Drosophila melanogaster: one gene and its partner. The protein of the gene in region 2 interacts with the protein of the main gene of each other region in a pairwise test. Each region holds a gene or a part of one and is shown on either strand. Other genes may lie near its edges. The genes, in order: CG6479 and CG34165.

The links.
Region 1: the proteins of CG34165 (region 2) and CG6479 interact in a two-hybrid assay, tested with the Drosophila melanogaster proteins (one large-scale study listed by BioGRID).

The regions. Positions count from the first base shown.
Region 1 is NT_037436.4:17,336,645-17,341,162, forward strand, and holds CG6479 (uncharacterized protein), read right to left. Parts: upstream 2,619-4,518; 5' UTR 2,536-2,618; coding exon 2,513-2,535; intron 2,493-2,512; exon of another isoform or gene 2,468-2,492; coding exon of another isoform or gene 2,457-2,467; coding exon 2,152-2,456; intron 2,093-2,151; coding exon 1,485-2,092; intron 1,429-1,484; coding exon 1,099-1,428; intron 1,040-1,098; coding exon 677-1,039; 3' UTR 528-676; downstream 1-527. Other genes in the region: CG13727 (uncharacterized protein), read right to left, coding at 3,635-4,149, 4,279-4,518.
Region 2 is NT_033779.5:14,711,653-14,715,067, forward strand, and holds CG34165 (uncharacterized protein), read left to right. Parts: upstream 1-2,097; 5' UTR 2,098-2,176; coding exon 2,177-2,188; intron 2,189-2,279; coding exon 2,280-2,567; 3' UTR 2,568-2,874; downstream 2,875-3,415. Other genes in the region: CG15282 (uncharacterized protein), read left to right, coding at 1,090-1,101, 1,173-1,400.

The DNA of each region.
Region 1 (4,518 bases), on a different chromosome or scaffold from region 2:
AGGCACATTACTCACCCGAGGTGCCAGCCATCCAGCCATCCGGGCATCCGGGAGTATGGGCGGCATTAAAATAACCAGCCAACCGATTCAACGTCAAGCCAGAGCCCAGAAATGAGCATGGCCAAGAGAAATGGTAATGTGACTGGTCGAGAGGGCCCAGGTCCTGCTCGTCCTGGCGCCTGCTTTAGGGGTCTCCGTTTGCGACTCCTTCATTTTGCACTACTTTGGAGCATTTTCTCAATGTCTCTCACTCGACAAAATGTCGACAGCGTCGGCGGAAACCATTAATTTTGTCACTTTCGGAAGTGCAAAGTGGCGAGCATGTGGGAGCATGTCGCTGGCCGAGCCAATGGCCAGGTCACCAACTGGCTGGTCAATAGTGAGAATCATGAAAGGGCAATTAAAGTCGGGCACCTGTGTGCACATATCCGCGAATATAGCTTACCGCCGACTGCCAAACAAGTTAATTGCACAGACCGCAGGCCACACGACACTTGATAACCGCGAAACCACAACAGTCGTAAGTTGGCTTAATAATTACAAATGTATAATTTCATAGTAACGAATGATGAGGATTGTCCAGTCACCAAACGCTAGTCGAGTCACAAAGGATCATGCTTAGAAGTAAGGAGTGATTAGGGGTGGGATTAAAAGTCATAGCCACTAGTTCCACTGTTCAGTCTTCGATGACGCACATGATGTTGATACCACTTTTGCCAAGATTTACGCACTCCAGAGCAGAGTCCTGGTGCTGTCGCATATAAATTAGGAACTGTATGATAACGTAGAACAGGTTATTCCTATCGTAGACGCAGTTGTGTAGTTCTTTGTCGCTGATAAAGTTAAATTTAGGGTTAAGTGGGTTGCCGGTACTTAAAATGGCGCAGTGGGCCTTGTTGTGAACTGCGTTCACCACGTCCTTGGTCGAGCTCTTCTCGTCGCGAATTAACACGTAGCGGGAGTGAAAGGGTCGTCCGCCGCCCTGCGGCAACGGCATCAACTGGCTATCCAAGTACACGCAAAATAAATGGAATATTATCTGCAGAATGAGGTTACAATTAATCAAGAGTGCTCAGTTGCGGAATTTCGTATACTCACAGCTGCATCGGTGGGCAAATGCTCGTCCCGCTGCTGACCGTTGTGTGTTTTGCCCGAGTACCAGCGGTAGTCAGCTATGCAAGAGCCCTGCGCAAGCTCCTTGATGCGCTGCACCAGGTATTCCTGGTTGCTGAAGGTGTCCAGGAAAGGTAAGAGCATGGGCAACATGGGCGCACACGTCTGCACGAACTGCTGGTTCTCGGCTGTTTTGCGTAATCTCTCTACACTCACAGATCCAATTTTAATGTCAATCAGAGCTCGCTGGCGGAAAACATCGTCCACATAATTGATCTCTTTGACCAAACGCTGAAGTATGGTCGTAGAAATCCACTAGAAAATGGTAAGACATTAGTACGTTGCAGTGGAATATTGAACGGGATGCTTACAAATCTTAGGTTGGCCACATATTGCGACAGTTTGTCCGTGGATATGCGCTTGATGACCTCCGAATTGCTGTCCCTAAACTGAATACCGCCAAACTCCTCAATCGAGGTGGGAGCATTTTCCGTAGAAACAGCCGGAGGTGGCGATAGTTGATAGATGGTGGTCTTGAGCATATAGGCCGCATTGTTGCAGTAGTTCCAGAAGGAGTTGGCCGATCCCATGCTCTGCACATTGGGTGTATCCGAGCTGTCCATCATGCTGCGCTCCCGATCCGCCTGCTTCATTAGACTGGTCAACTTTCGTGTATCGGTCATGAAGTCATCGCGTCGCACCTCCGCATACGGGGACATATAGGTAGACTCGTTGCTCAGATTGCTGGCATTCAGCGAGTTGTTTCGAACCATCGAGGAGTTGTAAGAGGTGTTTTGTTTCGTCTGCTGCGGCGTCCTTGTGGGACTGGGGCTGCGGCGCATGGATTGCGAGCCCCAGCAGGAGTCCTCGAAGGAGGAGTGCCAGTTGATGATGGGTATGTCGTCCTCTATATCGCTATCCGGTTCGTAGCTGCGTGGTTTCATCACGGCTCGGGAGCAAACTGTACGAAAAGAGTTCTCTATAGGAATAAAAGTGGTTAAGTGGATGCGTTAGAACGGGTTCCTTTGGATTCCTCACCTGCCTTGCCATCAAGCAGCCACTTTTGGATATCGCTACCCGTAACTTGGTCACCACCAAACCATAACCACAAATACTTGCCGAAGCAGGCGAGTGCACTTAGGCCAATCAGGGTCGTAATGGTGCACTCCGCCAGGAACCAGTAGGTCCTGTAGGCGGACCGACATGCCTGCCAGAGGTCGAAGAGGAGTAGCGACAGCAGCACCACATTTATGGAGCACCACTTGAGGTAATGCCGCGCTTGGGCGCCCTGCAATCGCAAGTCCAGGCTGCGCTGCACCACTGGGTTTTTACTCAGCGGCGAGCTGAGGAGCATTCATGGGTTAATTTTCTGAATTCTACACTAGTTTCTGTCACTTACCAATTAGTCCGTGTAAAATTCATTGCCTACTATGTGATAATTATTAGAAAATCACCTGAATAGGTCGAAAATGCCGGGAAAACTTGTTTGTAAGTGATAGCACAGACAAAAAGTTAGAATACCACAAGGTCAAAAAATAAATACCGTTTGGAATGAAACGCGTTATGTACTTTGTTGGCTCAAGATACCTTAGCGGAGACACTTTCCCTAGCGAAGACACACACCTATCGGCGATGTTTTCTTTGGTATGGATCAATATCCATGATATCATATTTTTTAATAGAACTAAAATTATTTTTATGATTTTTAAAATGATTTTTTGTTTATCCGAATGTTTAAAGCTATTCACCCACTCTAAACGTATTACTTATCAGCAACTTTTAATTTATCATTTAAATGCAGTGTTTTATAATATTTTTTAGAGTAGTTATAAAATTAGCTGTTTTTTAAACAAATTTTTTCTCTATCTTCAATATATTATGACATAAGCCGTACAAAACCGAAGACTCAACAATTTTGCAACATTTATGAGGACGCTAAAAAATTCCTTAATTTAATTTAATTTAGTTTGTTTTTAATGATATAAAATAACTTTTAATTTATTTCATTCCCTAAGTAAATTGTATATAATTGTGTACACATGCAACTAAATGTGTATTCTCAATAACTTAAAAATATTTTAAAATAAATATTTATAAAATATAACTTTTTTGTTTAAAAATTATACATTCCTTAGCGCACTGGGATGACTGGGGCTCGTCCGGGAATTGAACCCGGGACCTCTCGCACCCGAAGCGAGAATCATACCTCTAGACCAACGAGCCGGTTTGAACCTCAGTCGACTAATTACGCAATCTAATGTAAAAAAAAAACTTACATATAGCCATTACAAAAGGTTCCACAAGTCACTTAAAATTACGTTATCTTATTCTCTCCATATAGACAACTAATTATTAGGCTCTCGTAGCATTAGACCCTTAATTTAAATTATTTAAATTATTAAAATTATTTAAATGCCATCACTGACTTTAAATAAAAAACACGCTTGTAACTATATGATATATTAAAAATAATATCTTATATATTGTTTCCTGATTTAATACATTTTCGAGAGGACGGTACTTAGATAGAGCTATTCAGTTTTGCATCAGTATTCCCTGATCGTAAAGCCCGCTTCACTGCCCTTCTTCTCCTTCTTCGTTTGCCAACGACTGTAGGTCCGACACCCACTCCCACACCGATCCCCGGAACAGGAGCTAGTTGCAGCAGGAGAGGATTACTGACCAGGGCGGCGGCGATGCCCAGAACGGTGGCACTGGCCAGCGGAATCAGGAAGCTTTTGGCCAGCAAGGCCTTTGGTGAGATCTCTGGCGATCCCTTGTGGGAGACTATCTCGTGGGAGTCGATGGGGTAGGAGCTGTAGGAGTAATCCACTGCTGGCCCCGGGTAGTGGCCATGTTCGGGTCGAGGTCGATAAACGTGGTATGGCACCCCTGCCTCTCCGCTGGAGGAGTAGGTGTGCCCAGGAGCAGGTCCTGGCTCATAGCCATGTCCGTTGGATGGTCCGTAGTCATACTGATAAGGTTGACTGTCATAGGCGTAACTTTTGCCAGCACTTCCACTGCTGCCATAATGCCCTTAAATAGTATTAAATATATTTTTAATGAAATCTACAATAAACAACAGTCATCAATTTCAAATATTAATCATTTTAAGTTTGAGTTTATCTTTGTAGAATATATAGATTGAGTAATCTTTGAACTCACCCACGCTTATTCGATCGTGTATATTCCCACCTAGTTTCCACTTATCATAGGCCTGGCTAAGGTTATCATTTAGGTCACTAGCTTGGGAGCCATGAGCTCCTCCAAAAGGCGGCAGCGCACCAATGGGCTTGGATATGAAGCCAGCTGCAGTGCTATCCAACTTGGATGACGATGAGCCCGGTCCGCGGTAGAACTCCGGGGGAGGATCGTAGCTCTTGGCTACTGCGGAGCCCACGGGGT
Region 2 (3,415 bases):
TTTAAATGAGCCAAATAAATTCATTTAGGGTTTTATGCGCTCCACTGAAGTATGCCAAAAGGCACCGTCTTCGTCGTCGCAGTCTTTCGCATCACCCTCTTTTCGGATGGCAGGGTTAAGAGCCAAGTTAAAGGCAACACGTATTGCCAAACTCGATTGCCGCTGGCGCCGCACACCAAATGCAATTTCACTTCACCCTCGTCGAGGTACGGTAAAATTTCCAGGGTCTCCGGTCTCCGGTCGCCAGTATTCCCCATTCGCTGCAGGTGATTCCCCATCGAGACACTTATCTATTGAGTGAGCTTGGTTCGCTTCGTTTGGACCGCTCTTGAAGTGAACGCCAACGAAATAAGAAAACAACAAAGTTTCTTTTGATTATGTCAATGGAATTTGTTTATCTCAACGAAATGTAACCGAATTGAAAAAAATATGTTTTTTTTACGCTCATTTGCATTTACTTTTGCCCGGATATAAATGTGGCAATTGGAAGGGGTGATTTGTTCAAATGTCCAGCTCAGTAAGATTCAATAATTATATATACACGTAACACATTAATGTGATTCTATGGTAAACATTAGAGTAAGGAAGCAAATTTGTTTTGAGAACCCCAGAAACAAAGGCATCATCAACAACGTCAAGTAGCATCAACAACGTCTAGTTTGGGTTCAATATATTGATTCTTGGAAACGTGCCTCTAGAAACTGAATAGCTTAGTCATAAATTCAGTAAAAATACTATTTAAATATAAATTGGCAAACTATTAAAATTCATATCAAAAGCCACGCACCTGGCGCCTGTTCCCCTAAAAAAAAATGGAAACCGGTCAATAACCACAACAAATTCAAAACCGGATTGGAAGAGAAACGCTGGTCACCTGTGAGGAAAGCCCCCACGTCTGGTCCAGTGTCTGGGACAAGTTTTTATTTCAGTGCGGGTAAAGAACCTCCGAAATTCAAACATTATATGAATTCAAAAAAATCGTATAAATAGAGAAAGACGTGACAGAAAGGGCACAGTATCGAGTGCAACATCGAAGCATCCTCATCTTCTGGGATATTAGTACAAATTGAATTCATTTTCAAATTCAATATGAAATTCTTGGTAAGTTTGGCCACCAGAGCTACACCTCGCAGGGATTAAGGACTTTATAAAAATAATAAACGGCCATTCAGGTGATCGTTTTTGTGGCCCTTATCGCCGTTGCTTCCGCGCTTCCTCAATTCGGATATGGAGGATTCGGTGGATTCGGAGGATTCGGTGGCCAACAGCAGCAGCAAGAAGGATTCGGCGGTTTCGGAGGCTTCGGAGAACAGCAACAGCAGCAGGAAAGCTTCGGTGGATTCGGCGGATTTGGAGGAATCGAGCAGCAGCAGCAGCAGCAACAAGGAGGCTTCTTCTAAGGCTGTTACTTTAGTTCCTCGACTAAAAATTAAAATAAATTATTTGAACGTATTAGTATAACAAACACAAAACAGTTTTTGTTTTTAAATACTCATTTACATGTTTTGACAATGGCTTATTGTAGGCCTTTAGATCGACAGAGATTTTATTAATGAGTAACCTTCATTTATTTCGCTTGCTTATAAATACGTTTGGGTTTATTTTTTTGGACATAAGCAACATCAAGAAAAATGAATTATTAAATTAAATTAAAAATTTGTGTTTCAACATAAAAAATTGTTTTTATTTAGCTAATCGAAAATCACTTAATGGGTTAATGACATTTTTGTGCTATAACAACATTAATTGCAAACACTTGAATAATTCGCAAATGATGTTGGCATAAAAACCAAAGGCAGATACTGACTCATGCAAAATTGTGAAATAACCAAATGTTCTGACAGCAATAATTTAACAAAAAACCTAATTTGATTAGCGAAGAGCATACGCCAAGAAGAGCTGATTGCAAACCTGTATTTTTAGTGGGCCCGTCAACCCCAGATACTTGAACGTTTTCAACAACAGAAAAAATCCCCTATAAACACAAACGTTCACAATGATTTGAACAGGGAAGTCCGAGCGGCGATCGCACCGTGCTCAACCAGTTTTGAATGGGCATAAAGCCTAACAAAAATTCAGATAAATACTCATAGCCAGCAGCCGAAACTCAAACAGTTGATTTTAGCATTCCGGTGAAATAAGATTGTTCGCTTGAGGAATATTTTCAATATTCAACATGAAATTCACGGTATTTTTCGCTAAAAATTGGCTAATATAGACATCTACGTTATTTTTTAGTTGAAACTAAATGTATTGTACTGTATGTATTATTTTTTTAGATAATCGTTTTTGTTGCGCTCCTCGCCTTTGCATCGGCCCAGTTCGGTCCGTTTGGTCAAATTATTAGGGGTATTGAACGATTTGAAGGTGGTCTGCAACAACAACAGCAGCAGCAGCAAAGCGGCTTTGGCGGTGGTCAGCAGCAGCAACAGCAGGAGGAGGGTGTCATCTTCAGAGGTCCTTTCGGCGGCGGAGTGGAGTTCTTCCAGGAGCAACAGCAGCAGCAGCAAGGCGGTGGAGGTCAGCAGCAACAGCAGCAGGAGAACCTATTTAACTTCTTCGGCTAAAGCTCCTTAGTGAGGGAAACTAGACATAGACTGACCACTATCTATAGAACTCAAAAGCAAGCCATTAACTAAAGCCATGATCGTAGAGATAAACACACGATAAATAAATATTTTTAAAAACACACAATTATAAACCAAGACATAATAATGCTTTTCTATAATCCTAGTTTAAATATTTAATACTAGTTCATGCAAAACCAAGCTAATTTTAGTTTAATAAAGCAATAACGCTTTGTCATATAAAATTACACGAAATCAAATACAAACAATTTGTTTACGAGGCCAAGGAGCAGACAATTTGCCTGCTATTTGGATGTGAATTCAGCAATGACTTCGTGTTTTGTGTCAAAATCGCGATGATGGCCATGGCCAATTGTTATGGCCAAAGTTTTAAGCCAAAAATCGCAAAACTCTAATGAGTGCTATCGTTGAAATCAGAGGAGAGCAAGTGGGTGTGGAAGGGTCGGTGGCATTTTTGGTTCCTTTATCCGAAAGCACCGAAACACCATCAAAGTCATTAAGCGGAAAACCCTTTTGGCTTCTTTTCCACGCATTTTCATTTCGCCTTGTAATGACTTCATCCCGGCTTCAGAGTCTTTGGGGTTTTGGTTCTGGTTTTGTTATTGGAGACAATTTCGAAGCCATCCTGTAGTTGCCTGTCTGACAAAACAACGCCAGTCAGCTATACAGCCAGCGCCATCCACCAAGAAAGCCAAGAGCACCAACACTCGTAACTACAAAACAACTTTTTAATTGCAATTAAATACGTAACAAGTTTTTAGTTGTAAGTGCGACTACGGAGCACACAGGGAACTTAGCCGTGGCAATAGTGCCCATTGGTGCCGGAA